7 separate regions of the Mus musculus genome follow, and all the other regions are reported to be linked to region 3. The links are microRNA targets in miRTarBase. Many come from high-throughput screens and were not tested one by one. Region 3 holds a microRNA gene; each other region holds the end of a gene's coding sequence.
Evidence for each region. Region 3 holds the annotated microRNA mmu-miR-342-3p (UCUCACACAGAAAUCGCACCCGU, at 1,722-1,744, opposite strand). A microRNA usually pairs through its seed, bases 2 to 8, with sites in the 3' UTR of a target mRNA and lowers its output. Matches are read on the target gene's strand: a 7mer-m8 pairs with bases 2 to 8, a 7mer-A1 pairs with bases 2 to 7 and ends in A, and an 8mer does both.

Region 1 (4,069 bases), not on the chromosome of region 3:
CTGGACCCGGTGGGACCAATGGCTGAGGTCCCACCCAAGGTCCCTAACCGGGAGGCATCTCTATACTCCCCTCCCTCCACACTCCCCAGAAATAGTCCAACCAAGAGAGTAGATGTCCCCACCACTCCTGGGGTGCCAATGACTTCTCTGGAAAGACAAAGGGGTTATCACAAAAATTCCTCCCAGAGGCACTCTATATCTGCCGTGCCTAAAAACTTAAACTCACCAAATGGTGTTTTGTTATCTAGACAGCCGAGTATGAACCGTGGAGGCTATATGCCCACCCCAACAGGGGCGAAGGTGGACTATATTCAGGGGACACCGGTGAGTGTTCATCTGCAGCCCTCCCTCTCCAGACAGAGCAGCTATACCAGTAATGGCACCCTCCCCAGGACGGGACTAAAGAGGACACCATCCTTAAAACCTGATGTGCCACCAAAGCCTTCCTTTGTTCCGCAAACCACATCTGTCAGACCACTGAACAAGTACACGTACTAGGCCTCAAGTATGCTATTCCCGTGTGGCTTTATCCTGTCCCTGCTGTTGCGAGGAAGCTGTGAGGGTACCTTCAGATGAGATACCTGCTTGTATTTTAAGAGAAACAAGTAGCCAAAGAAACTCTGTCACTTTGGTAACACCAGAACTTGCCACATGTAGCTACTACAGCAAGGCTTCTGTGTACTTGCCGGAAACGAAGGGAGGTCCTGCTCACTCCATTTCTTTCGTTTGAAGCAGAAGGGATGTGTAGCCAGGGAAGGCTCCCTTCACCAGTGTAAAGAGCTGATACAGTACTCAGAAGACTGAACAAATACTTGAAAATGGGTTCAATGTAGACTGCCATTCTGTGTGGTCTTCCCATTAAATGTGAACATTTTAATATGTATGCATTCACCTTGCCTCTTGCACAAATGTCAAAATGGAAAGATGGGAATGTCTCAAAACAAAATGAGCTTGGAGATTACCAAGCAGTTTGCTGAAAATTCAATCTTTGACCCAAACTGTAGCAATTTTTATTTTCTGAGTGTGGCACTGTTTTGTTTTATTTTTTTGTTTTGTTTTGTTTTTCAATGCCACCAACAAACTATGTTAAGAGAGGGGCGAGTGTGTGTGTGTGTGTGTGTGTGTGTGTGTGTGTGTGTGTGAGAGAGAGAGAGAGAGAGAGAGAGAGAGAGAGAGAGAGAGATCTACCCATTAGAATTGATTTAGGTGCCCATTGCATCTTTTGTACTATGGAGTTGTTTACAGTAAGCATGACTGAACAAGCACTAACATCCTCCTACACCGGTCCATCGTGTTCGGCTCTGATCAGGAATAGACAAGGCTTCTTTGACTGTCAAGTGATTAACATATGGTACCCGGTGTCAGAACATTTAAGCGTTCTAAATAATTTTGTGCTGCTATCCATCAGAACGTCTATTCCAGCCTTGCCAGCTTAAGAACTTAGAGAAATTAAGAGGTATCTTTGATGTATCTACCAGTATTCAATAGTAACATTTACCTGTCCACTGTGAATCAAAGCCTGGGGCACGCTACTCAACCTTAGACACACTTACAGGCTTTTATTTTGATTGTGTTATTTTATTTTCCATACAGTAAAAAATGTCCTCTCTTAACTCCTCTCACCCCCAACTCCCAAGGCAAAAGAGAAACCAAAAGTAGGACAAAAGAAAGAGACAGACAGACAGACAGACAGAACAGGAATTACAGTTGGCTTAGCAGGGAGGATCTGTAGAGCTCTCGATGATCCTTCCTCCATGTGTGTCCTGTGAGGATTTTGCTCATGAGTCATGCAGGCAGTGACAGTGAACTGTAAATACCACATGTGAGTTTACCTGGATCTGTGCATTTTGTGCCTTATTCACTCGAGTGGTAGAAGTTCCGCGGTATGTTGAGTGTTTCCACTACAGAGCATCATTTCCCATGTGCCACTTGTAAATGTTTTGCAGCCAGCACCTGAGGACTTCTTATACAGTCATAAAGCCACCTAGAGCGATTTGTTGTTGAGCAACGCCGCCCCTTCCCTCCAGGATCAGAAGCAGCACCCACCCTTGCCATGATAAACATTCCATCCCCTGCTGTTCTGATAATGTGAAGTCAGATGAGGGTTCCCAGGTTATGTGGCACCTGCGGAAACCATGTCTAGAGTCGTTTCTATGTAGCTTGGCAGAGCCCACTGATGGCTGCAGGTGTGTAGCCTACTGACAGCTTTGGTTAACCCACTGCACATCACCCAGTCATTTACCCAACTTACTCTAGAAATGTCCACAGCTAAGGAAGGCTCCTGAGCCAGTCAGGCGGAGTTCAAGTGATATCTTGGGACAGTGACCATGGTCTGCATTACTTGGGGGAGGATGGGGTACAAGACACCAGATCATTTTTATACAGGATGTAGAGTACTGATGCGGTTGATCTTTTCCTTCAAGAACATTCTTTTCTATAGAAAAATGATTCCCTGTGATCTTCTGGAAGCTCCAAAGCTGAAACCCTTCAGCTTTGCAACTAAAAATATTACAGTTTAATAATCAATTAAACCAACCAACAATAAGCACTACACATCTGCCACCAACAATGTTGTTTGCATTTACCTTACCAATATTAATCCCAGCGTGGTAACTCTGTGTGACCCCGATAACATTTTGTAACATTGTGCTGCCTTAGAGTTTGTACTGTGAGTTCTATCAGTATTTATGTTGAAATTTCTAACATGGATTCTAGTCTCTATTCTGTTAATTTAATTTTAAATGCTTTATCCATTTGTGCAAAGGTAAACACAGATTGTATCTTTTTTAATGGTACGGCATAAAAAAATAACCCTAAAGTGAAGTGGCTCTATACTGTTTTATAGAGTACTTTAACGTGTATAGATATCTTGTAAACTTGTATTGTGGATGTGTAAATAATATGTACTTTGGGTTTTTAACACCGCATGTAAAGTCAAAATAAAATATCCAAGTCATTACATCCTGCCTTTTGATGTTAACAGGTTTGCACTGCGTCATGCTTTTATGCTAGTCATGCCGTATTTATTAAATATGTTCTTAAAGTCTAAGAACATATTCTTCCCTTGAAATTTTTGTTACCTGGTCACATTATGCTCCATTCTCTCCTTGGAAGACTCTTGTTGAAGGCTGGAGCCAGAAATGAGACAGGCAGGTCAGAAAGCCCCATGACCTAAATAAAGCCCTGCATCCACAGCCAAATGCTTATCTTGGACCTTGATTCACTTAAAGGGAAATTTAGAGTTCTCACCTTATGGGCTGGGGAGATGGCTCAGTGGGTAGAATGCTTGCTATGCAGTCATGAGGACCAGAGTCTGAACCCCAGCAGTTTACACTTAGCACAGTAGCACTTCATAAGTCCAAAGCTCCCAATTGATGGAAGGCAGAGACCAGGGAAACCAAACAGATCAGCTCATCTAGTGTAGACTGGTGAACAAGAGACCTGTCTCAAGATGGACCGCCTATAGCCCTGGATGTCCTCTGAACTTCACACATGCACTGTGGCATGCATGAATCTATACAAAACATGTACACACATACATATACCACGGAAAGATACCACACAAAGAAATCATGACTTATATTAGCACATAAAATATAAATGCACTTTAAGCTGAGAATTACTACTAGCAAACTCTTGTCGATGTTCCATATGTGGAAGGCCTCCACCCCATTGTACAATAGGAAATGAATTCCCTAAATATTCATGTAGGAGGTGAAAGTAGGATTCTGTTTCATTTCCCTTAGCATGCAACTAGCTGTGAGGGCAGCCAACATTAGCCTTATGGTTGGGCACAATGCCCTCTCTGATAGAGCAGTCATATTGCCTCTGCCTGTTTGGTACCAACAGCTTCTCCTGGCCAAAGCCTACCTGCAGCTCTCCTAAGGCCTTTGTCAAAGAACCTCAGAAGCATCTTAGGCAGAGCAGTAGACACTGACATATCCCATCAAGGGTTTCACTCTTTTCATGGTGTCCTTTAACCAAGGGTTGGAGACACCTGTACCTGAGCATTCATTCATTGGTACGAGATGCCTTCGTTCCCTTTGCATATCCAACAGTCCAGAGAGAC
Region 2 (4,069 bases), not on the chromosome of region 3:
AGGTACTCCAGTGCATAGACTAACCTGGTCTGCTTCGACCGAACAGGGCAGCTACTGTCTTTGAAGGCGCTGTGTCGCCGTTAATCCCACTATGGCCATCTCCTGTGTTTATTTTGGACCTAGGGTAAAAAGCTGATTTCATGGGTTTTCTTTTCTGTTCCCCCCACCTCCCCTCTGACCTCTGCCTGGTCCTCGCACACGGCAGGGTGGTTTGAGCAAATGTGTGGATCGCATCTCACCATCTCGCCTTGGTTCTGCCTCCTCAGGTGCATGGACTGTACCGCACAACAGGTGCTAGTTTTGAGAAGGCCCAGCAAGAGTTTGCAACGGGAGTGATGTCCAATAAAACTGTTCAGACAGCGGCTGCAAACGCCGCCTCAACCGCAGCAACCAGCGCGGCGCAGAACGCCTTCAAGGGTAACCAGATGTAGCGAGCCTGGAAGCAGTTCTCTGTTTCCTTAGGACTGTATCTTTTTCTCCAGTTACTGTATTCTACAGATATTTTTTGTTGGAAACACACAATACACAAAAGCATGGGTATTTCCAATCCACATGTGCATGGTCTAAAAACCAGAGAAACTTCCTTGTCTTATTACTTTGCCTAATAGTTTCTTAATATTTCCATGCTCTGCACAGAAGAAAACTATCACCTGCTAAATAAATATTCTCCATATTTTTGGGGGATGGTGTTCCTCAGATTATTTCAGTGGTGACACACTGAAATGAGTATGTGACTTAAGATTTAAAAAGCGCTCGATAGTAACCACAGAAGTTCTTCCAGGAGTCAGTAGAGATTCAGACTATACATTGGACATGACACCATGTTTCTTTCTTTTCCCCCCTCTATTAATAACGAAGGAACAAGGTCAGCAAAAGTTTGGGTGTTTTTAAATTGGCTTGCTTTATATGAGGTTCAGTCACCAGAGAAGAGCCTGTGTGCTCTGTAGTAGATAATGTATATTTTACCTTCCTTTATTTTATTTTTAGACTAGTTGATTATTTTGATAACAATCTCTGATCTTGCATGGGCACCACGTCTCTTAAGTGAAATGAATTAGTATTTTGGGTTCTGTACTGCTTATAGTTGTAGGATCTGGGGCTCTTTATAGAATCAGAAATGATTTTCTGTAATAGTTTCTTTTAAGTAAAAATTTACTGGAGTATAAAGACTTTAATATAATGTGCAGTGCATTATCCAAAGAGAGGGTAGTGAATTGATGCAATAGAATATAGTGATAATTTCTTTTCCCTCTTAATTTTTAGTATTCATATAGTAAAGTTTTACTGTATGAAAACTTTGATATATTCTTCTGTCTTATCTTTTTAATTGAACTAGGATTTGTGTTTGGCAGCTGTGTGTGTGTGTGTGTGTGTGTGTGTTTGTTTTTGTGTGTGTGTGTGAGAGAGAGAGAGAGAGAGAGATTGATTTTGACACAGGTATTAAGGCTAGCCTAACCCTTGAATAAAAAGAACACACAGTATTTAAGGGATTTTTCTTTTAGCCTCTCACTTTTAGTTACATTAAAAATAAAAGACCCTTGTGATTCTAATATGCTTGATTTCTTAATGTACCTGTCTTTTACTTTTAAGACAGACTAAATCCATGTGAAACATTGCACCAAGCAATGGAGAGAAAGCTCAAGTAATATATTCATTATTGGTAACATCCAATTTACATTGTTATGGTGCAGCACAAACTGATGTGGGTTGAGACTTTTAATCATTTTTAATGCTGATTAGCTGTCTCAAGAACATTTGTAAGGCAGACTGTTGTAGTTTGGAAGTCTCACTAGTTTAGATTGCAAAATGATAGATAGGCTGCAACTTACCCAAGTTGACTTTAAACAAAGATGGGCTGTCAAAGACAGGATATCCTTTAAAAATGAGCTGAAGTGAGTGGCTGAGCCACTGTACCCTGTCCCCAAGGCTGCAGTCGGGGACTCTGTGCAGAGCTGGGGTGCAGTTCCTTGAGGTCTGTGGTATTGGATTATACATCTGCCCATGCAGGGCCATGCTAGATTTGCTTGGGAATTTACTAAGTACAATAGTCCAAAAATGTTTCTTTGATTGAGGAAAAGGTAGAATTCAGAGTATGACTTTGGAGTTGTGTTTTGAGTCCCCATGAGTAGGATTCCCCTTCGTTCTCACCTGCTCATGTGTGGCTGCTGAGCGACTGTGCTTCATCCAGTGTGGTTTGATGGACACTGAGGTCACTAAGGGTGTAAGAGTTCACAGAAACACCAGTACTTATATTCTAAATCCAGGCTTATTCTTCTCTGATGTACAAATAAGAGACACATCAGAGATTCACAAAATGCTAATAGTTTTTTATTTTCAAAATTGGGAATGTTCCCTGTCCATTATGTGGAGGTCCCCAGAGGTGGTATTATTAAATGGAAAAGAATAGTTATAACTCACATTATGTTTTTGCGTATGAACAAGGAAAATGCTGTTTTCAATCCAATTGTTTGGATTCATACACGTTTGAAAGAGATTATGTTGTTTGAAAACACAAAGGAGCTTTACAGCCATGGTGGTGTCTGTGGCTGGGTCAGGTGGGAGCGGCTCGAAGCCCTTACCTGCTGTCCTCTCAGCAGCAGTCTGTCAGCAGTGCACTGTGATTTGGTGAAAGCCTGTTGACGTCTTCTATTCAATCCCAATGTTACTGCAGCCATGAGACGAGCTGCACGAGGACAGGCATCCATGTCACGTCTTAGTTGGCGATGTTAAATGGTGACTGTTTTATTTAAAACTCGGGTCTGATCACTGGAAACGATTGCTTGGTGATTTGTGATTTGGGGCTCGGTTCATTGCTCTAGGGATGTTTGTGTATTGTGTAGGTGCGTGTACTACTGCGCTGCCCCTGTGGTATGTCACGGTTCTGTGTAAACGCCCTCCATGTGGCCCTCTCATGTTGCATGTTTTCAGTGGTTTGGAAGTTTTGTATATTTATTGTATTAATGCAGAGTGTCATAAAATAAAATAATGTTTACTGGATGTTTGTTTGTATAATTTTAAATACTGTATTAGCAGTTGAGGCACAAATTATACTTGTAGCTTTAATACAGATACTTATTTGACTTTTATTAAAACCAATCTTTGTACTGTTTTATCACATGCTAAATATAGTATAAAAGAGTTAGTGTAAAACCCTCAGCAATACAATCCAACAGCTTTCCCATTGCATTAGACCTTGATAGGTGCTTGACAGTGAGCCCTACACATCAAATGCTGGGACTCTTGTGAGGTAGGCAAGATTACCTACAAGTTCATTACATTTTTGGCTTAGGATTTTCTTCATGCCAGCATCGTACTGGTAACTAAACCCATGCGATTTCCTGCGCCAGCTTCCGCTGCTGCTGTACACACAGAGGGGTGTTCTGTTGTCTACTGGATTTCTTACCTGGTGACTAACAGTGATGAAAAGTTTAACGTCAAGTCATGTTCACAGCGGATCTTATTTTGAGAAATACATGTTGAATTGAAATAAGAAACAGTATTTTCCATTTTTTTCATTTTAAAAAGTGAGTTTGGATTTTGACACGTAGGGACATCCTGTGATCTTGTGGATGCGGTTTATACTGAGGGATGTGAGCTGTCTGACAGTGGTCCCTGCAGGTCTGTTGGCAGCACTGCTGTGTGTCACTGTGCCCATCCTGACACGCTGATGCTGACGGCTGACTCGTAGTCACATCTCTGCTTATGTTCCACAGTTCATCACATCTGGGACACACTGTTTCTCTGTTCCCTTCCATTTTCCCTTAAGGAGTAATCCCTAAAGGGGTCTGTGATTCCATGTTAGTAAGCCATTTAGAGACGAGGGGCCGGTTAGTTTAAAATAACTCAGAATGGCTAAAGTTACTCTAGACCTTACTTAGATAGGTTTTTCAAGCATCATATTATAAATTTATTTATAGTAGAACAATACAGTATAAAATATTTGAGCTGTTTTTCATTTTTAAAATAATTTTTAGGTAAACATAAATTTTTTTACATATATTGTTTATTAGACTAGTAAGTTGCACTCCAATGATTAGGAAAATGAAATAGTTATGTAAGAAGATTTGGG
Region 3 (4,069 bases):
ACCTCTCTAGAGAATTCAGGAGATACTATGACGATGCAGGGAGGAGATGTACAATGGCAATGTGGAAAGGGAGGCTCTTGTCTTTCTCTAAGGCACTTCTTATAGTCCTAGCGGCATCACACTACCAATGTGAGTGTCAAAGGGGACAGGAGCCCCAGAGATTGTGTATGACAGCGCTTCGATCCTTAAAGCCTCCCTCCCTCTTGTCTACTTTACGTGTGCGTGTATGGAAGCTAGAGCACAGCTTTCAGGAGCTGGTTCTTTCCTTTCACCACTGTGGGTCCTGGGGACTGAACTATGGTTGCCAGACTTAGCAGCAAGCACCTTCCCTTCCTCAACTAAGCCATCTCATCAGCCCTTGTGTCCACTTCAAAGATAAGGAAAGTAAGACTTGGCATGGGGGCATGCAGAAATAGATGTGTTGGGTCTATGTTCACTAACTATAACAGAGTGTAGAACAGATGCAGGCAGCTAGGGCACAGAAGGGTCCCCTGCTTCTAGTTTGTGTCCCTCTTGAGCTGCCTGTGTTGGCTATATGTAGCTCACCTCGCTCGTCTGTTCTCTGAGTATGGAGGACAGGCGTGTAAGATAGCTATGCTCTGGATCACCGTCTCATACTATCATTGGGTCTGTGGGGTTTCAGGAAGCCTGAAGCATCAGTAGCATGTTGCCATCAGTGTTGAGGAAGTGACCTTGGTGCTGGAGGAGAAGGCAGCTTTTCTCTCCTGGGATGTAAACTGCAGATGAGCCAGTACTACTTTAAAGGAGATGCTCTGAGATTAAGGGTCCCCATGCAGGGCACCCTAAAAAGTTCAGGCCTTTCCAGAGACCTTCATGTAAACTCCCCACAGAGACCATGTCCTCCTCTCCTATTAGCACTGTCACATGAGTGGGTGATGAGAACTCCTGCTTTGTAAGGAGAGGCATTTCAAGCTGCTGGAGTGATTTTTCAACTGATAAAGAACTTGCACAATGTCTTGTGTTGCACTCAGAACACCCCTGTGAGGTAGGTGTGACAACCCATTTCACAGATGGAAAAACAAATTTAGAAAGGGTGAGTACTTTGCAAAAGAGCTGGAGAACAGATCTATCTTGTGGGAGGTATGAAGGTCTCTGTGCTCACAGATAAGTACTAGGGAACCAGGAATGCTGAACACACAGAGTTGTCCCTTCAAAGGGAGGGACACATAACCTGTTATCTGCCCAGAAGGTTGGGAGCAAACGTGGTTAACAGCCTGGTGACCTCTGTGCTATCTATGTGGCCGAGACCACACAGGATCCTCCCCAGACTCTTACTGTGAGCTTGTCAATCTACAGAACTCATCTTTATGGAAGATGTCACACGTACTTTACAAAGAGTTTTGATGTAGTCACATCTTAAGCTTTGTTGTATATACAGGACTGAGTTAATTATCACCAGGAAAGCACCAAATTGTGCTGTGCTTAAATGTGCCTAAACTTAATTATTTGGGGTCAGACTCCTGAAGTTTGAACCAATAGTTAGGCATGTTGGACTGAACTGCTTTCTTATCTCTCACTCTGCTGGTCATGGCGGTTACAGAATCCGAATCGAAACCCCACACACTGCCCAGGTCTGCATCCACAGCTCCTTCCACAGCTCACACACATCACGGCCACATTCACGGGGACTTCACCAGGGCTGCTGCTTGGTTTGGGGTGCTGTGCTTCTTGGTTCTGGTGGTGCTCAGCAGGCCAAGGTGACGGGTGCGATTTCTGTGTGAGACAATTCCATTGACCATGTCCCTCAATCACAGATAGCACCCCTCACCTTGAGCCCATTTTCACAGATGGCAAATGGTGCTGGCGGTTCAGGAGCTTCATCGTGGTCTTCAGGAGAGGGTACAGAAGCAGGAAGCGAGGGGTATGTTTGCAAGGTGCACAATACAATGGAAGAACACATGGTGAACCCACTCGCTCACTCGCTCATGCATGCACCACAAACACTTGCATGTCAGTCTCTTAGGGTGTAGATAAATACAGATATGGAAGGCAACTTGCTCCAGAGAAACTCAATAACTGAACCCAGCCAACCAAGAGTCCTGGGAAGGATCCAGGTTCTCTGAGCATCTGGAGTGAATCCACATTCAGAGTGGTACATAAGAAATATCACAAGCAGGAGAGCGCACTACGCCAAGTCATAAAGTAAGTCAAAGGCAAGGTGCATTGTGGAGGGCTGTGCAGGTCATTGACGTAAACAGCACTGGCAGCCAGGCTGGATGGATGCCTGGCCCTTATCTGGAAAGGGAAGTCAAGGCGAACTTGTTGGTTTGTCCATACAGTCAGGAGAGGGACGGTAAATCTATGGGCTGAAGATGAGGGAGCTGGGAGGAGACCATGAGATAGAGTTCTCCTGGGACTTGGCCCAGCACACATCCCTTCCTCCCCAAACATGGTCTAAGGCAGCTGGAACTGTGTTAAGGACTTTGGGTTGTAAATGAGCTCCAGGCCTGCCACATCCCCAAGCCTTGTCAGGGTGTACCTGGCATCAGGTATCAGGCTGGCTTTTGAGGTTCTAGGGACCGGTCTTTAATTTCCACACCTGGCTGAATCCATGTGCTCGAATGTGCTGTGCCAAGTGTTACCGTGAGGATAGAGGCAAAAAAAATACAGTAACAGGGGCACACTGAGGAGAGCGAGGAACTATGGGGATTCTGAATTACGTCAGGCAGGTGAGGAGGGAGAAGGGGTCAGAGGTGGGGAAGGCCTAGCAGGAGCAAAGTGTGAAGGGGACTTGTGTATTGTTGGCATGGAGACTGTTACAAAGCTCAGGTTCTCTTAGTGAGGTGGGTAGACAAACACAGAGGGCCACTGTTTACAGTGTGGCCAGTAGGGGGCAGGGCAGATGGAATGAGCAGAGCCTGGAAACAAAGCCTGGGTAGGAAGTGTGACCTTGGCCCAAAAGGCACACCCAGAGGAAGCCATACCAACAGCCAACATCCCCACTGCAGGGGAGATGCAAAAAACAGTTTAGGAGTTCTATCTCTTCCAGGGAAAAGTTTCATAATTTCTAGCAAAATAAGGTTTGTGGGAAGCAAAACTGAAGCTGACTTCAAGAAGCTCTGAGGTTTAAGACTTCACCCAGGTTCACAGTGAGGAGATAGACCAAGCCTATTCACAGTGAATCCTAGAGAAAATGCTGGCCCCTGGTACTCCTCAGAAACAATCTGAAATCAGCCCAGCCTAATCTCAAGCCTGCAGCCTTTTGATCACTCATCCTCCTGCTCTGCTTCCTGCCCCTTTCCAGACCAAGTTAACATCCAGGATTTCCCAGGCTGCAACTTCTGGTAGCCAGTTCATGCTTTTAAAGGAGCCACTACCTCCACAGAGAGCTTGGACACACTATGTGGCTGACCCCTAACTTCAGGCTAAAGCTGTTCTGCCCTTATTTGTCTTCAAAACTCCTGTCATTACTATTTTTATCTTCATGATCTCATTTCTGATAGGTACTGCATTCTAGATGGGAAATTGAGGCTCAGGTCGTGCCCAAGGTCAGATGGGCTATCAGCAATTGCAGGGCTGCTCCCCTGTGAATTCAAACTCACACCATTGTTGCAGGGACTGGAACTCAGGCTCATGGGGGGAAAAGTATTCTTCGTATGCCAAAAGGAAGAGTCCTAAGCTCTAAATATGGTAGTCTGTTTCTCAGAAGTGTTGGTGGGCCCTGTACTATACCTACTTCGAAGGTCTGCACAGTCTTCATTAGCAAGAACCAAAAGGGAAAAGATGCCTTGCACCTGCCTGCTTCCCAAAGCACCACTCTGACCGCAGACTCCAGGAAGAAATGGCATCTCAGACCCAGACTGGCTGGGATAGGAGGAGAATGCTTGGTTGTGGACCTAGCTTTAATCTATTCTATATAAGCCTCACTCAGGATTGGGGTTAGTTCTGTTACCTACAAAATGCAAACTTGAGGCAGGAAAACATAAGGAATAGTTTAGGATCCTATGACCCTAGCTGGTTTTGGTTTCCACCTCTCTTACGATAATGCACCTGGCAGCCTAGCTCTTTTACCTGCATGCACCATGCACGTAGCTCTCTCTGAACAATG
Region 4 (4,069 bases), not on the chromosome of region 3:
AAAATCTTTGGTGACTTCTGATCTAGATCTTTGAGGAGCTCCTGAAGTCACTCTGCAGAAAGAACATAGGTATTTTGTTGCAATATGTTAAGGACAGTTTCTCTGCCTAAATCCAGTAATATATATATATATATATATATATCCAAAGAAGTTCCTAGGGCCCAGTATCAGAGTAAAGTCAATAAGGCAGTAATTCTGCCCTGATTCAGATTTGGCTCCAATTTGGCTTTGATTACAAATTAACTTTTGAAAAACTCCCTGGAAGTTATCTGATATGGACAGAGGCTAAAGACAGAATTCAAACAAGACAGTAATTTGATGTATAAGGTACTCCCAAGGGGAAACAAAGATGGCTGGCAGAACACAGCTGCCAATTCTTCCCAAGATGAGTTTCGTCATCCCAGGAATGGACAATCAATATGCACATATAAACTCACTTGGGTTAGCAGGAAAGGACTCAGACTGTTAATTTTCAAGCCAAAGTCTAAGTGTGTGATAGAGGCACACTGCCCTAAGCAGCCAATCAAAATTGCCTTCTTACTTACCTGGCTAAAACCAGATCTGTATCTAAAAGGCCACTTGGGAGATGGGGAGAAAAGTGACACATGGGGAGGGGGAGGGAGGGAGGGAGAGGGAGAGAGAAAGCGAGAGAGAGAGAGAGAGAGAGAGAGAGAGAGAGAGAGAGAGAGAGAGAGAGAGAGAGAGAGAGAGAGAGAGAGAACATCCATGTGTGAATGCTGACATGCAGGCCCTGGTGTGGAGCAGTCAGACAACAACTTCAGTATGGGTTCTTGCCTTCTACCTTGGGGTTGTATACTACTGTTGTATACCATTGCATCTGCCAGGCTATCTGGCCTGAACTTCCGGGCCTTCACCTGTCTCTGCTCCCCATCTTGCCATAGGAGCCCTGGGATTCCAGCTTTTGGTAGGTTCTGAGGATTCAGACTCTACCCCTAATGCTTACACAGCAAGCACTAAGTCATCTCCCGAGCCCCATTATAGGTATTTGTACAGGAACCAAGATCAAACACCCTCTTTAAAGGTGTTTCTTGAAAGGTCCTTAACTAAAATTAAACTTTTAAAAAAGCAGTCATGCCAGAAGTGAAGTCTCTAGCCTGCGTGGTTCAATTCCGCAAGCAAAATAAGCCCCTGCTCAGTGTTTGAAACTATACACTGCAGTTAGGAGCACTTGCTGCTCTTCAGAGGATCCAAGTTCTCTTCCCAGCACCCATCCTGGGCAACTCACAACCACTCCAGTTCAGAGGGACCAGATGCCCTCTTCTGGACTCTGTGGGCATCTACACTCAGGTGCACATACCCACATTCAGATACACAAATACATCATTAAAAAGAAAGCAAAAAACCTCATGAGTGAGATAACACAATTTAATTTTATAAATAAGTTGTTTACAGAAGCAAAGATGACTAGCAATCTATACTCATGAAAGATGAGACTCACCATCAGAGCCCCAAAGGTTGTTCCTTTCGCAAGATGTGTCTTAAAAAGATAAATTCTGTCACTGAGAAAAACCTTTCATCTCTAAAAGAAAGGAAAAACCTATTTTGTATCATTACCCAAAACTGTAGCACAGAAAATGCACCCATTCCAGTGTTATTTTGGTATTTGTCCCTGGCCCCTTCTGTTGTTCTGGTTGCTCTGCCTCTACCTAACAATGGCCAGGGCCTTCCAGACGAAACTAAAGTCTTCCTTGGAGTCCTGAAGATACTTCTAGAGGAAAACCACCATTTTAGCAAGAAACACTACAGCGCCCAGTGGTCTAGACTTTACTTTTAAAAAGAAAAAAAAAGGAGGGGGAGTTTTAAACTGTGTAAGTTTTTAATTTCAGAACACTTGCTAGTATACAACAAACTTTTTATTTTTCATTCATAAAAACAATTTACAGCATTCATAAAACAAAGTGGTCAGAGAAAGAGAGACTGTTCGGATGGATTCGTTCTGTGTAGGAACAGATGAGAAGGCAGCTGCTTACCACAGACGGAAACAAATACAATCCATATAAAGTAGGACTGGGTCAGAGTGGGAGGGAAGTGTGCCAATCAAAGCAAACTCAGACCTTCATGCATGCAACTCAACATCTGAATTCTCTTAAAAACCAAATAGGAGCGATTTAATAGGTCTCTGTAAAGGAGGTTATAAGTACTGGAAAAATGGTAGCTTTACATATATAGCCCACACGCAAACACACACATATTCATTCTCTCTCTCTCTCTCTCTCTCTCTCTCTCTCTCTCTCACACACACACACACACACACACACACACACACGATGGGAGTGGGGGAAGAGATGGAGAAAAGATTAAAATTATTAAATCCCCAGATAGATTATCACAAAAAATATCCCTTACATAAAAAGACACGAAAAATAACTTTTTACACGCTCAGCTTTAAAGTACAATACCTTGAGCTCTAACTCGGTGCACCCTGACCCACCCTCTTTCAGCATGAACAATGTTATATGGTGAGATACACACTTGAAAGAATTCCTTAAAAAAGAATCACAACTTTCGTTTTATATATACAACAAATTTTTAATTATGTACTGAAAATAAATTACAGGAAATAACTTTAAAATGCAACAGAGGACAAGTCACAATAAAACATTCCCATTGAATTCTCTTGGGGGTGAGACTGCAGTGCTCAGGGAAGATAAATATCACAAATATATCAAAACTTCACACTGTCTATGCGTTCACACAGTGACACGAGCCACAAACACTCCTGTCACAGGACTGGACTCAGTAGCCTACCACAGAACCAGGTTTTGCCATAAACTACAAAACTTTTAATACAAAATTGTATTTATATATTTATAATTCATATACATGCCCTACCTGTAATCTTTAGAAAATGAAAGCTACACGCTGTAGACACTCTTAACTCATAGCTGTAGGCAACATTTTTGGATGGAATTTTTCCCCCAATAAAATTAATGGCATATTTTATGTACATGAAGGCTAAACTGCAAAAAGACAGTTCAGTTTCCCAGATAATGCATCTCCTTTCAGGGCAGGTTTACAAATTTAAAAAGGCAAGACAAATGTACACCTCAGAATTACCTTCTCAGCTACAAGAGTTCTCATGTGATTTGTGTGAAGTTTCTGAAACATGCATTTATGTAATACTGGCAATTGAAGGCAGTAAAGCAATATACACTTTTAATGTAGTGGCTCGGTAAAGGCTTCATTGTCATTCCCATCTGATTCTTGATACAGTGATTCATAAATTCTCTAAAAATTAAAATTTCAATGGGACACTATATTAAAGAGACTCTAAATAGATTTCTTAAAATATTTCCCTGAAATATCCTTTTACATAAGACAAATTTCACTAACATTGAATTCGGTAAAAAGAAAGAAAAGAATTAACCATGGCACAAGTGTGCATGATAACCTGATGCTCCTCAGGCAGTCACCGAGTCTAAGGAGACAGCAAAGAAGGCTGCAAACCAACAAACAACGTTCACACTCTGTGGCGGCCATCTGTGAAGCCAGTTACACTAAACTACTTCTACAGTTGATTGTAAACTTTGGTTTATTTTATCTGAGTTCTCATTGTACAGCAAGCATGAACAAGGGAGAGTGGAGTCCATGAGCAGATGAACTGTCAGTCTGTCTTTAATCGGGCATGATGAGACACCTGGTCAGTCAGGCCTGCTTTGATAGAGTTTGTTACAGACTGCCTTATGTTTTCCTCCATCAAATTATCACCCAGGGGCTTCAATACCTGTGGTATGAGAAATGTGCAAAACAAACAAAAGCATGAGGTAAAAAAAGAGTACATATAAAAACAGATATAAAAAATTCAATTTAAATTAATGACAAAAATAATCAGGAATGTGAGAAATAAAAAGATGCTTCTCCCAAAAGAACAAAGAAAAAAGAAAAAGAAAGAAAAAGTTATGATGCTACAAACAATGCAGTTAAGACATTTTATAATGCAACGAAAGTTACTTTCCTCTTACTCAAACCATTTACAAATCCTATGAGACGGATGTGCAATCCATACCCTATGTGCAGCATCAAATCTGGTATGTATACAGCATTATGC
Region 5 (4,069 bases), not on the chromosome of region 3:
TGTGAGACAAGCTCTCACTGGCCAGGAACTTAACAAGTGTCCTGGGCTGTCAGACTGGCCCCAGCGATCTGACTGTTTCAGCATGGGAATTACAGACAAGTTATTAGGACAAGCAGTTCATGCCCTGAGCTATCCCTCCAGCTTTTGTTTGCTTTACTTTTTGGCTTTGCTGGCCTGGAACTCATTATGTAGCCCAGGCTAGCTCCAAACTCCTAAAGATCCCCATGCCTCCACCTCTTGGGTGCTGGAGTCAAGGCACGCACCACCATGCCTGGCCATTTCTTGTTTCTTGAAACAGGGCTTGGAACTCTCCATCCTCCTGCCTCAGCTTCGGAAGCTCCCGGATTATAAACGCGCACCACCATATCCAGTCTGTTTTAGTTCCTTTTGACCCAGAGAAGGGGTACTATGCTGAGATAGATCTTGGTGGGCGGAGGGACCTTCTTTCTTCAGACTTTGCATCCACTGCCCTCCTGACTCTGTGGTGGGAGAGACAGTAGTCTGGGGACTTGGATTGAGAGGATGTGAGGTAGGGGAGGGGAGAGAGCTGAGGCTGCTCCCCGGAGAGAGAGGTAGGCGTGGTGACCTGACCATGGCACCTCTCTCTCTCTTTCTCTGATGGCTCTCCCTTCCTCCAGGTTCTGAGCAGTCCCTGAGCACCCGGAGTCCAGCCAGCACCTGGGCTTATGTCCAGCAGCTGAAGGTCATTGACAACCAGCGGGAACTGTCCCGCCTCTCCCGGGAGCTGGAACCATGAGGAAGGACTGGCTGGAGCAGGCACTCTCTCCGAGGAAGCCAGAGCCTGTGCAACCAAGAGGTCCAGAGGCCAGCCACAGCTGGGCAGGGCTCTCCACAGAGCGGACTCAAGGCCCTGGAGTGGGCAGTGTCGGGGCAGTTGTCCCTGTGATGACTGTCAGCTATGGAGATCTTTGTTCACGGCCAAGGAAAGGGGGGACATTGAGGCCATGCCGTGGGTAGGAGAGCTGGGAGGTACAGGACTCTGGATCAGTAGAGAGCCCTCCCACCGGGCCTTCTGCGCATCTGCACGTCTGTACATCTGCATGTTTGCAAGTCTGTACGACTGTACGTGCAGCTGTACCATCCAGTGGTCGCCAGGCCTCGTGCTTGTTTTCACTGGGGCCAGTGAGCTCACATCTGCACAGTTTGTGTGTGTGTGTGTGTGTGTGTGTGTGTGTGTGAGAGAGCCCTGGGTGGGGCCTTGCCTGGGAGAGGGTGGAGAGTTCTGCTTTTCTCTCCACACATCTGAGATAAACAGCTGGGTGTAGGCAGGGCTGTTGCCTAGAGCGGTGGTCTCAGAGGAGTTGTATTGTTTCCATAAATTAACAAAGATACGTGTGTGTTCTACCGCCTGGGTGTGTGGCTGGGAAAGCTGGTGGAGGAGGTTGCTCCCTGGGTACAGAAAAGCAGACACCCACCATCTATCTCGGGCTGGGCTCCAGGGAGGCTAGCGGTTGCTCAGATGGGCTCCAGTGTTGTCCCAGGCACTTGGGGGACCCTCAGCTCTCTGAAAAAACAAAAGAAAAAAAAAACCATATATATATATATATATATATATATATATATATATATATATATATATATACACACACACACATACACAGAGACGGAGAGAGACACTATGAGAGTCCAGCTGCAGCTAACATCCTCTATTTTCCCCTCCCAGCAGATAGCTCCTGATCCTGTTAGGTGTCAGATGCTGAGCAGGGGCCTCAAGGGGGTGAGAGAAGAGACTAGACAGAAGACTGGGAGGCCTAACCAATTTCTTCACCTTGGCGATGAGTGTCCTGCCCCCCCAACGCCCCCCCCCCCCATCCCACATGGGCTGTGGAGGTTAAGGCCCTCTTTTCCCGGCCTCTTCAGTCCCTGCCTGGACACAGATCCAGGCCTAGAACCTCCACAGAGGACTGCTGCCCTCTCTACTCTCCGTGCTGGGAGCCTGGCAGCTCTAGACGCATCTGATCTGAAAGCTCCCAGCCTCTAGGATGACCCTGTGTAAACTCCAGGCAGCAGGACTCTCAGGTGTCTGAGGAGGTCTGCTCACAGCAGCGGGCCGGAGGCAGCTGGGGCAGCCCTGTTCTTGTCCTACGGGTGCAGTGGCAAGGCTCAGACTTGACACACTCCTCCCCCCCTGGCCTCCACACTGCCAGACACTTCACTCTGACGTCATGTCAGCGGGCTCCCAGGAGAGATCCAAGCTGTTGGCAAGGACTTTACACCTCAGGTCTAATGAACCCAGGTGTACCAATGGTCTTTCTTGGCCTTCGTTTGTCCATCTGTAATATGGGTATGATATCTGGTCGTTAAGTGACAAACAAGACAGCAGGTGTTGCCTTTCCCAGAGTGACTGTCCCAGTCCTGTGTGTGTGGCCCCGGAGGACAAGCTGCATCTCCCAGAGTAGAGTCTGACACAGCTCTCGGGATGGATTGACTGCCAGGGATGACCAAACCAGTTCCCTCGCCCGTGGGCAGGGAGGGAAGATCTGATGGAAGAGACCAAAGCTGAGCAATCATGAAATCAGGCCTAAGCATCCGTGAGTCAGGAAAGAGTCCCTGGAGCATTCTTGTCCTCCCAGCCATTGTCAGTGTGGCAGTGGAGACCATGCCTGTCAGTCTCAGCTCTGCTCCCATCATGGACTCGGGTGAAACCAGCCCAGCGATGAGACAGACGTTGTCCTCTCCTCGCTGGACACACCTACCTTCTGATCAGAAGTCTGGGCTCCTTGTGGGTCTTCCAGCTTAGACAAGCTGCAGCTTCCTAGCCATTCTACCCCAGGCTGGACCTCTTTGAGCCTGATGGGAAAGACAGAAGAACTCTCTGGACAGGCAGGGAGCACAGACTTGGGGAGTGGATGTCCGAGCCAGGTCACCGCTGGAAGACAGGAGGCTCAGAGTACAGAGTCCTCGTGGCAGCAGGCTCCTGGTGTTCAGGCAGAGGGTGGGGAACCTGCTCCTGCTCCCTAGAAGCCCAGGGTGCGTATGGGTGGGTGGTGGTGGAGACCAAGATCACAGGTCTGCTGAGACAAGGGAGAAAGCCCTAGAGCTAGCCTTTGAAAAACCTGTCACCTAAAGAGGTAGAGCATAGGCGTGTGAGTGTGTGTGGACAAGAGCTGAGCAACCATGTATCCAGGCCCAAGTGTGTGTGTGACTGTGCGTGTGTCTCTGCGTTTGTGTGTATATGTGTGTCTGTGCATGCTTGTGTGCCTCTGTGTGTGTGTGTTATGGATATATGTGTGTGTCTGTATGTATGTGTAGGTCTGTGTCTGTGTATGTCTCTGTGTGTGTGTATGTGTGTCTGTGCATCTGTGTGTTTTGTGTATGTGTGTGTGTGTGTGTGTGTGTAGGTCTGTGTCTGTGTATGTCTCTGTGTGTATGTGTGTCTGTGCATCTGTGTGTTTTGTGTATGTGTGTGTGTGTGTGTGTGTGTATGTCTTTGTGTATGTGTGTGTATGTCTCTGTGTTTGTGTGTTTGTGTCTGTGTGTGTCTGTGTGTCTGCATGTGTGTCTAGTGAGGAGAAGCAGAACGGAAGGAAGTTTCATTGCACCGGTCTGTGACCCTCCCCTTTCCCTTATGGTCCCTGTAAGGGTTATAGCCACAGGCTGAGCTGGGCTAGGACTTCGCTAGGGGAGGTTTTCCTCTAGCAGCGCACAATGCCTGGTGAGGGGTAGATAGGTTGGAGCCAGCCCTCTCCTGTCCTCTAAGCCATTCTGCCCACCATAGGAGGATTAGCACAAAAGTGTGACCCAGCTCAGCTGGGAGGGAGCAGGCTGCTTTCACAGGCTTCTTAGCTCTCTGTCCCCAACAGCCCTGAAACAGAGACCACTCTGCTTCCCAGGTGGCAAAAATGAGACATTCTGACGTGGCTGCTATTCATGAGATTTGTCAGGATAATAATCATCTGAGAATTGAATGGTGCCTCTGCTCTCTGTTCAGCGGGCTTTCCCCTCTACCGCCATATTTTTATCTGATGACAGAATAGGAGCTCAGGCTATTTTTACCTTGTTTCACAGTCAGAGGAACCGAGCTACAGAGATTTGCCTAAGGTCACCT
Region 6 (4,069 bases), not on the chromosome of region 3:
AATTGGGGTCAAAGCCTTCAGAAAAGCTCCTCAATGGCTGTCTAGAGACATAAAAGTTGGCCTTTCAAGATCTTGCGCTGTTTTTGGGGCTGCCATCTGTTTCTGCCCACATTTTAACTTCTGCTCTGCCCGTCATCATTGCAGGTAATGGGACTTCTGACCAACCACGGTGGGGTACCGCACCAGCCTCAGACCGACTATGCTCTCTCCCCTCTCACTGGGGGCCTGGAACCCACGACCACGGTGTCAGCCAGCTGCAGTCAGAGACTGGAACATATGAAGAATGTGGACAGTCTGCCCACATCTCAGCCCTATTGTCCCCCCACCTATAGCACCGCAGGCTACAGTATGGACCCTGTCACAGGCTACCAGTATGGGCAGTATGGACAAAGTAAGCCTTGGACGTTCTAGGGGGTAGTTCCTCCTGGAAGGGAGAGAGATCACCTCTTGCTTGAGAACGGGGAACTGGAGGCATGTTTAAGCCTTTCATCCCAGTATCATTTTTTTGTGGCAAAGACAGCTGATTGCTACAGCACAGGCTCCCTTGTGTAATTATTTGCTTAACTGATGTCAATAACATCTTGCAGTTATTAATTGCTGGGACGGAAAACCGGATTGTCAGTAGGTAAAACACAGAGGTTGGCCAAAATGAAATAACCTCTAGCATTAGAAACACATGTTCTTAATGAGGTCAGCGCCAGGATCATATGGGGATAAGCCCAGGACACAGAGTTGTGTCAAACTTGTCTCAGGAATAAAAATATTAGTCTCGATCCTTTGATACCGTGGTATTAAATATGACATTGTCAGCCTGTAGCTGATCTTGCCCCTAACTGTGAATTGTCCCAGCATGACCTAAAAAGCTGCGTGTGTTTCCTTACAGGTGCCTTTCATTATCTCAAGCCAGATATTGCATAAGTGAACTGTCCACTTGGAGCCCTGTTTCCGGCCTCCACAGACTAGACATGAAGAATCTTCTCAGAAACAAAACAATAAAAAAAATTTAAAAACAAACAAAAAATAAATGAAAAAAAATTCAGCTTTTGGGGGAGGTGGAGACAAAAGAGATTGATTTTCTTTCTCCAGTAGTTGCTTTCAGATTCTTTGAACATATTGGACAAAAGGCAGGGGAGACAAGGAAGACCCAGAGCTCTAAAATGCACCATTTTTAAGACAGTGATGTAACTGGCTACATATCAAAATGGCCCCAAATCTTTGTTGCTGATCAAAGAAGCTAAAACATTCCGTGTGTGTGTGTGTGTGTGTGTGTGTGTGAGAGAGAGAGAGAGAGAGAGAGAGAGAGAGAGAGATTGATTTTCACGGGGTGGTTTGAGTAAGCAGAATGTTCCCATATATTGTAGTTGAATTCCTGAAAGTTAACAGGTTTGATGTCTAAGGCTGACCAAGTTTATGACATTCACACTGCTTATGTAGTGAATTGGGAATGGAGAAATCCTTGATTTTGACACACTGGAAACCGATATGAAAACCAACACCACCATTGTATAGGGCACTAGACTAGATGTGAAGGATCTCCCCAGTAAATTATTACCATACCTTCATTTGTAACCTAGTTATCAACCGATGTCCCTGACATGTCTTGTAAAAAGATGTGGGATAATGAGAAAAAAGTGTGTTATCTGCTGTGGGGATAGATGGATGTCATTTACTTCCCAAGTCACATTGATTTGGAGGCCAGTTGGTGGGGGGGGGGGAAGGGTATGATGTAGAGGAAGTGACACCCATCACATATCTGCTTCTCAGCGTGCAATACTGTGTACCTCACAGATGCTTTGGCAATGGCCAAGGTGATAGAAATGAAATCAGAACTATATTTTTGCAGGTGTTTTTATTTTTGCAGCCCATAACTCATCGTAGTAGAGTGCAGTGATGTTTGCTCGTTGCCAAACAACTCACATCCTGCTTGTTCCTTTTGTTCAGAGACCATGTCTGAGAATCAAGCTCTCTACAGAGATGGTGTTTACATTCGTCTCTTTTCTACAAAAGGCAGGGCTAGAACAGAAATGTCCACGTGGCTCTCATGTACTTTTAAATTATACAACGATACCCAATATTAAAGGATATAGGGAACAGGTTTACATACATTCATGTGGTGACATTTAGGATGTCAATAAATCTGTGTTTTGAAATGTTAAGAGAAAGATGAAGGTGGGCGGTGCTGTTATTTATTTCTTTCTATTCTTGGAACCATGAATGAGGTAGGCACAAATACATTCCCTTTAGATTTAAGAACAATGAGGTAGTGTGTTAGCAGGACTAGACATAGAACTGAGTTATTTTATACGTTGGGCAGGGTGATGGAACAGGAGACATAGTATCTTTGTGTTGCAGCCTCAACCAACAATGATGTGTTGTAAAAATGTCTTTCATGTAAAAAGTGCAGTAAATATTTACTATTTATAATGAATAAACAGTTAATGAAAATGTGCCCAACACTGCTTTTGTGTGTGTGTGGGGGGGGGGGGGGTGCTGAGGATGGAATGCAGAGTGAATGAGAAAGGTGGCTAAGCTGGGCACTGTGGACCCATCCTACTCCTGGTCCCTGGTACATGAGACTGTGACATGGACAAGAGTTACATATAAACCCAAGACGCTGGCTTAAACACACTCTGCAGGACTGAGTTTACAATATCAGGGATGTGGAATCTAGAAGTGCGCCCTCCCTCTCCATCTACCCTCTTTGGTTTCTTTGGTTCTCTCGGAGATGTCAATTCCTTTCAGCCTCATTTATAAATATGTATCTCAGTACACCAGGATCTAACTTCATCTCCCAAAGTTCTCCACATTGAAAATTTTATTTTAAAGACTTTTGTTTTAGCAACTCATTTCAGCCTTGGAAGGAAATAGTCTACTTCTGTCATTGTTTTCCTTTCCTTCTCTTCTTCCCCTATTCCTCCCCACACTTATTTCATGAGAGTCTAGATGTGGCAGGTGTAACACTAGACACTGGCATTGCGACGGCACAACGTGATGAGTCAGGGGGTTGAACTTCTGTTTCAATACATTTGGATGGTTACTTATTATAAGGCGATTAATCAACACCTACTAAACTCTTGTATTCACTTACTCCTCTCAATGTCTCATGTGATGTCATTTCAACTGTGTGACAATCATCTGTAGCAAGAAATTGCTGTATTGGGTAGCATTGATGTAGAACATTCTAGAACGTTGTGGTAGGGAGTTCTGTTGGTCAGCTGATTTAAAACACATGGGATTTTAACTATCCAGAGGAAATGATATACAGTAGGTAAAAGTTTCCAAATTTTAAAAATGCCTATACTCTTTTCAGCTTCCACTTGCCCTTCTGATCCACCATGTTGCTCTTTTTCTGACAATTACTTTTTTTTAAAATTTAAATAATACAGTTGTAGAAAAGGAAGATAATTGTCACCAAACACTTGCTTTTTGTCAGTTCTCACAGGACTCCTGTGAGGTGAGTGTCTTTTGCTCTGTTTTACAGCCAAGTGGACCCAGGTCCAGAGTTGTTAGGTTAGGCTGGGCTCATACCGCACGTAGGAGCAGCAAAAGCAAAGCTCAATTTCTACCAAACGTCGGAGTAGGGGCCACATAATTTTACCTCTCCAAAAGCTGCTTCAGATACTCGTTGCATTATACGAGTCTTGTGCCAAAACCCAAGTTGAAAACAGGCATTTAAAAAAGTAATTCCTTCTCGGTGCATGGAGACATGCTGCCAGGACTCGGATTTCACAACAGAAGCTGGTCTTCCCAGGGCCCTCTCCTGCCTGCCTCCTGACCCCAGGACCTGCCATGTGGGGCCCAGCTCTCCTTCTGATATATGTCTTTATGCCCTTCTCTTATTTCTGGATGTCTTCGAAACTATTGCTCTGTTGGCAGTTCTCATGTTCAAAGTCTCCATAGATCTTTCTTGCTCTGATTTTTCTTTTCGTCTAATCAATCTCCAAGAAATCGAACGCCTGACCTCCCCTGGGCTGGAGTCCCAGCTCTCATCTTTTGGGACAAGCCACACTAAGGGCTCTGAACTCTTGACATTTAACTAAGCTTGATCCTGTTTATATGTGAAGTTCCC
Region 7 (4,069 bases), not on the chromosome of region 3:
AAAATGCATGAGGATGAGAGAGAAGGAAGAAATGACTGATCTGCCAGAGCCTGACAGGGTCCTGAGAGGAGTCGGTATCCTTACCCAGCCAGACTCAGTCTGCTTTTATTAGAACTAATGTCTCCTCTTGCTTTGCCCCTGTCCACCCATTTGCAGAGTTTGGTGTGTACTGCAGTCACTGTCGGAGCGAGGTCCGTGGCACCCAGTGCGCCATCTGCAAAGGCTTCACCTTCCAGTGTGCCATCTGCCATGTGGCCGTGCGGGGTTCATCCAACTTCTGCCTGACCTGTGGGCATGGTGGCCACACGAGCCACATGATGGAGTGGTTTCGGACCCAGGAGGTATGTCCCACGGGGTGTGGCTGCCACTGCCTGCTGGAGAGCACCTTCTGAACTTAAAGGACAGTGGCACTTCCGGAAATCCCAGAGGACTCCATAAGTGCTGGAGAAGGCTCTCTGCTGCTGCTGGTGGAAAGTCCTAGAACCAGGGCCATCCTCGTGATTTAGGATGGAGAGTATCCTCTCACAGACTGTCACAGCATCCGCTCGTGATCCTGTGTGTTCCCTTCTCCTTGGCTGCCGGGCACGGATGGTGCTGGAAGAAGGGAGGGGGACGCACAGAGCTGACCCTCCTGTACTGTCTGTTGAGTCCACAGTGGATGTTTTCATGAGGAAAAGCACCTGTTTCCAGAGCCATCAGAGCTAGCATCAGCCTTCAAGATTCTGTCCTTGAACCAGGAATGGACCCTCCAGATGCCAGTACAAAGGCACACAGCAGCTGCAAAACAGACTCCTGAGCCAGAAGACGCTGGCTCTTAGTGCCATCCACAAGTGAGCTATGGTATCTGTGACTTAGAAGTTGGCACCTTGATGATGGCCTTATAAAATACAATACTAAAGTGTAATATATGATGGACATATATTCAGCATTCTTTTTCTTGGTACAGGGCTGGAACTCAGCGCCTTGCACATACTGGTGAGCAGCCATACCACTGAGTTACATTCCAGCCCCATAAGAAACTTAAGATGTATATGTTTTCTGTTTCTCTTCATCTGCTTTCCTTTAACTAATAGAAGTTTGTACTTGTGTGTGTGTGTGTGTGTGTGTGTGTGTGTGTGTGTGTGTGTGTGTGAGTGAGTGAGTGAGTGAGAGAGAGAGAGAGAGAGAGAGAGAGAGGGAGAGAGAGAGGATGAATAAGGAAAGTGACCGTCTTAGTGACTCATTTTGCATTGTACTTCTGGTTGAAGGGAACTGTTTTGGACCGGACTAGAATTAGTCTCATGACTTGTAAAGGAAATGCCATTTGACTTTGATCATCTGACAGAGGAAACGGAATCTGACATTAAGGTTCTCTCTAGCCGCAAGAGTCTCATAATTATTTCTTCTAGCACAGGGGAAATGAGATTGCATTTCAGCACTGATACCAGAGTCTCTCTCTGCCTCTGGGCAGGCTGGCTGGGCTCCAGGGGTACTTTTTACTTGAACTCCCTTGCAAACTCATCATGATTTTCAGGGGTTTCACTTGTCTATACCAGGGAAGAGAGTTTAAAAAAAAAAACAAGACCCACTATACTGAAATCTCTCTCTCTTAGAAATTTAAATTCCTTGGGCCTGTCATAAGGCTCAGTGGGCAGAGGTGCCTGCCACTAAGCTTACTAACCTCAGTTTTCTCCCTCGCATGAGCCACCATAGAAGAACTGACTCCTAAGAGTTGTCCTCTGACTTCCACATGTGTGCTTTGATATGTGAATGTACACACACACATACAAAAAATGTAATTTAACAATTTTATGATTCCAAACTAATTAACCGGAGACACATAAGTAATTTGTGTCATTGGATTATGGTTGCACGTGTTTGTAGTCCCTTCACTCACGGGGCTGAGGTAAGAGGGTTTCAAGTTTGAGACCATCCTGGGCTACACAGTGAGGTGATGGCCAGCCTCACTTATATATGAAGACACTTACAAGCAAACGTCATAAAGAAGATCTGGAGAGATCGCTTAGTAATCAAATGCTTGGCTAGCATACAGGAGGTGATGTGTTTGATCCTCAGCAACACACACACTGACACTCAAACTAAAACAAAACAAAATACTACATGTTCCATAATAGGTAAGTGTTGTATATCACTTTGTTTGAAACTATGATTTAAGACTCATGAATGGATTAGGAAATCAGTCTCGTAGATAAAAACCAACACTTTCTATTTTCAAGGATTACTTTGTGTGTGTAAATCTCTGTGTCTTCAAGTGTATGTTGTGTGGGACAGAAGAGGCCATCTGGTTCCTTGGTGCTAGGATTATCAGTCTTTTCAGGACACCTTGTGTCATGTGTGTTCAGGGATCCTAACTTGGATCTTCATGATTGCAAAGTCAGAACTGTTTTGTCTCCAGCCCCCAAACTGTCATATAAAGAAAGTAAAATAATGTGGGTGAGAGACAATCGTGTACTAACACAGTCTGATGTCCTTTGTTTACTAGTGCGTGCGCACACACACACACACACACACACACACACACACACACGTACTTATATCTCATGGTGGCAGGTGGGCCTCACCTCTCCCCTGTATTACTAATTGGTCATGAGACTCCGTGGCATAAGCTTGATCTTGAACTATGTGCCAGGTTTGGTACCAGTGCCTCAGCAGCACGTGTAGTCCGGTGTGCTGGGATGGGGGAGGAAGGGCCGCAGGTATCTGAGTGTATTACACTGTACTCCTCCAGCCTCGTTTGTGTCGACACTGCCGTGATGCTGGTCCCACAACAGGCGGACTGATGTGCACAGACACAGATCTGTTGGGTCCTCTGTGAGTTCACACCATTTACAGAGAGCGGTCTCTTCCTCTACCCCACCGTGAAGCTAATGGAAGCCCTGTCCCTGTTTAGAATGACATAGTTTTCTTGTGTGGATTATTTCTGTAAGAACATTGTCTTCCAAAACAAAAAAACCTTCTTAGTGACTATGAAGTCATTTCAAGTTTAACATGTTTCATAGGGGGCTGGAGAGATGGTTCAGTGATTAAGAGCACTGGCCGCTCTTCCAGATGCAAGTCCCAGTAACCATAAGCCAGGCCACAGACGTTTGTAACTCCCATTCCGGGGATCAGATGCCTTTCTCTGGCCTCTGTCAGCACCAGACATGCACATGCTATGTAGACATGCTGGCAAAACACTCTTTATGCATAAAATAAAAACAAGACACTATGTAACATCTCTCAATAGGTCAGTTCTGTTTGCATTTCCAAGTTACCAGGACAAAAACTTAGTATTTGTGAGAAATATCCCTGTTTGGAAACACAGTGGTCTGGATGCTGGTGGGGTCAGCAGCCTCTCTACCATAGCTAAGTCCTCTTGGTTTGGTTTACTGTGCTCGTCTGAGGTAGGGCACCGTTGTGTTTCCCAGCTGACCTTGAACTTGAGACCTCTGACTGCCAGAGTGCTGGGATTCCACCACACCTGGGCTTTATTTGCTCTTTAAAATATTATAACCTGTGTCCTAAACACCTTTGAATTTGCCAGGGAGAACACTAGGCATGGGCATGGTGGCACACGCCTCTAATCCGCATTTGGGAGGCAGAGGCAGGAGGATCTCTGAGTTTGAGGCCAGCCTGGTCTACAAAGCGAGTTCCAGGACAGCCAGGGCTGTTCTTACACAAAGAAGAAACCTATCCTGAAAAACCAAATCCAACCAAACAAACAAAAACTTTTTGCCATGGGAAAGCAGTGCTAGCTGTCCAGGGTACCAGGGGCTCTTTAGCCCCCTGCCAAGCAGAATGGGCCATGCGTTCTAGGTGACCACCAGCTTGCATTTGTCCTCCCACCTCAAGCTGCTCAGACCACAGGACTTAACACTTTCCTCATGGACACTATGGAGAGTCCATTATGCTTAATTTTAATAAGTTTTTCTACTCTATAGATGCATACAATCTGCATTTGCTGATCCACAGTGGGCATGGCAGCCCTTCCCAGTGCTGCTTTGAAGGGCTAGTAGAATCGAGGGGAGGGATCTAGGGTTTTTGTTTTGTTTTGGGGATTTAATGCAGCAGGAGCTAAGGAGACAACAGC

Region 1: miRTarBase lists Sema6d as a target of mmu-miR-342-3p. Seed matches in the 3' UTR shown: 8mer at 1,138-1,145.
Region 2: the mRNA of Scamp1 is a reported target of mmu-miR-342-3p. Seed matches in the 3' UTR shown: 8mer at 1,397-1,404.
Region 4: miRTarBase lists Atl2 as a target of mmu-miR-342-3p. Seed matches in the 3' UTR shown: 8mer at 2,252-2,259.
Region 5: miRTarBase lists Rapgef3 as a target of mmu-miR-342-3p. Seed matches in the 3' UTR shown: 8mer at 1,195-1,202.
Region 6: miRTarBase lists Pax3 as a target of mmu-miR-342-3p. Seed matches in the 3' UTR shown: 8mer at 1,271-1,278.
Region 7: the mRNA of Wdr59 is a reported target of mmu-miR-342-3p. Seed matches in the 3' UTR shown: 7mer-m8 at 1,128-1,134.

The regions. Positions count from the first base shown.
Region 1 is chr2:124,664,812-124,668,880 of GRCm38, forward strand. It overlaps Sema6d (sema domain, transmembrane domain (TM), and cytoplasmic domain, (semaphorin) 6D), which reads left to right. Exons shown (of 18, transcript NM_199241.3): 18 at 1-2,978. The coding sequence ends at 498. Among named protein-coding and RNA genes, the nearest start is that of Sema6d, 13 kb to the left of the region's middle.
Region 2 is chr13:94,200,361-94,204,429 of GRCm38, reverse strand. Scamp1 (secretory carrier membrane protein 1) reads left to right here. Exons shown (of 9, transcript NM_029153.1): 9 at 267-2,997. The coding sequence ends at 431. Among named protein-coding and RNA genes, the nearest start is that of Scamp1, 83 kb to the left of the region's middle.
Region 3 is chr12:108,656,355-108,660,423 of GRCm38, reverse strand. It overlaps Mir342 (microRNA 342), which reads right to left and starts at 1,804; the gene lies at 1,706-1,804. All of the region lies in intron 3 of Evl (Ena-vasodilator stimulated phosphoprotein), which reads right to left.
Region 4 is chr17:79,846,534-79,850,602 of GRCm38, forward strand. It overlaps Atl2 (atlastin GTPase 2), which reads right to left. Exons shown (of 13, transcript NM_019717.3): 13 at 1,857-3,745. The coding sequence ends at 3,626. Among named protein-coding and RNA genes, the nearest start is that of Atl2, 48 kb to the right of the region's middle.
Region 5 is chr15:97,742,236-97,746,304 of GRCm38, reverse strand. It overlaps Rapgef3 (Rap guanine nucleotide exchange factor (GEF) 3), which reads left to right. Exons shown (of 28, transcript NM_001177810.1): 28 at 639-1,535. The coding sequence ends at 757. It overlaps Gm33531 (predicted gene, 33531), which reads right to left. Exons shown (of 4, transcript NR_168677.1): 2 at 2,718-2,811; 3 at 1,437-1,525; 4 at 1-479. Among named protein-coding and RNA genes, the nearest start is that of Gm33531, 3.2 kb to the right of the region's middle.
Region 6 is chr1:78,099,650-78,103,718 of GRCm38, reverse strand. It overlaps Pax3 (paired box 3), which reads left to right. Exons shown (of 8, transcript NM_008781.4): 8 at 145-2,452. The coding sequence ends at 411. Among named protein-coding and RNA genes, the nearest start is that of Pax3, 95 kb to the left of the region's middle.
Region 7 is chr8:111,447,167-111,451,235 of GRCm38, reverse strand. It overlaps Wdr59 (WD repeat domain 59), which reads left to right. Exons shown (of 26, transcript NM_001170742.1): 26 at 157-2,452. The coding sequence ends at 392. Among named protein-coding and RNA genes, the nearest start is that of Gm24793, 30 kb to the right of the region's middle.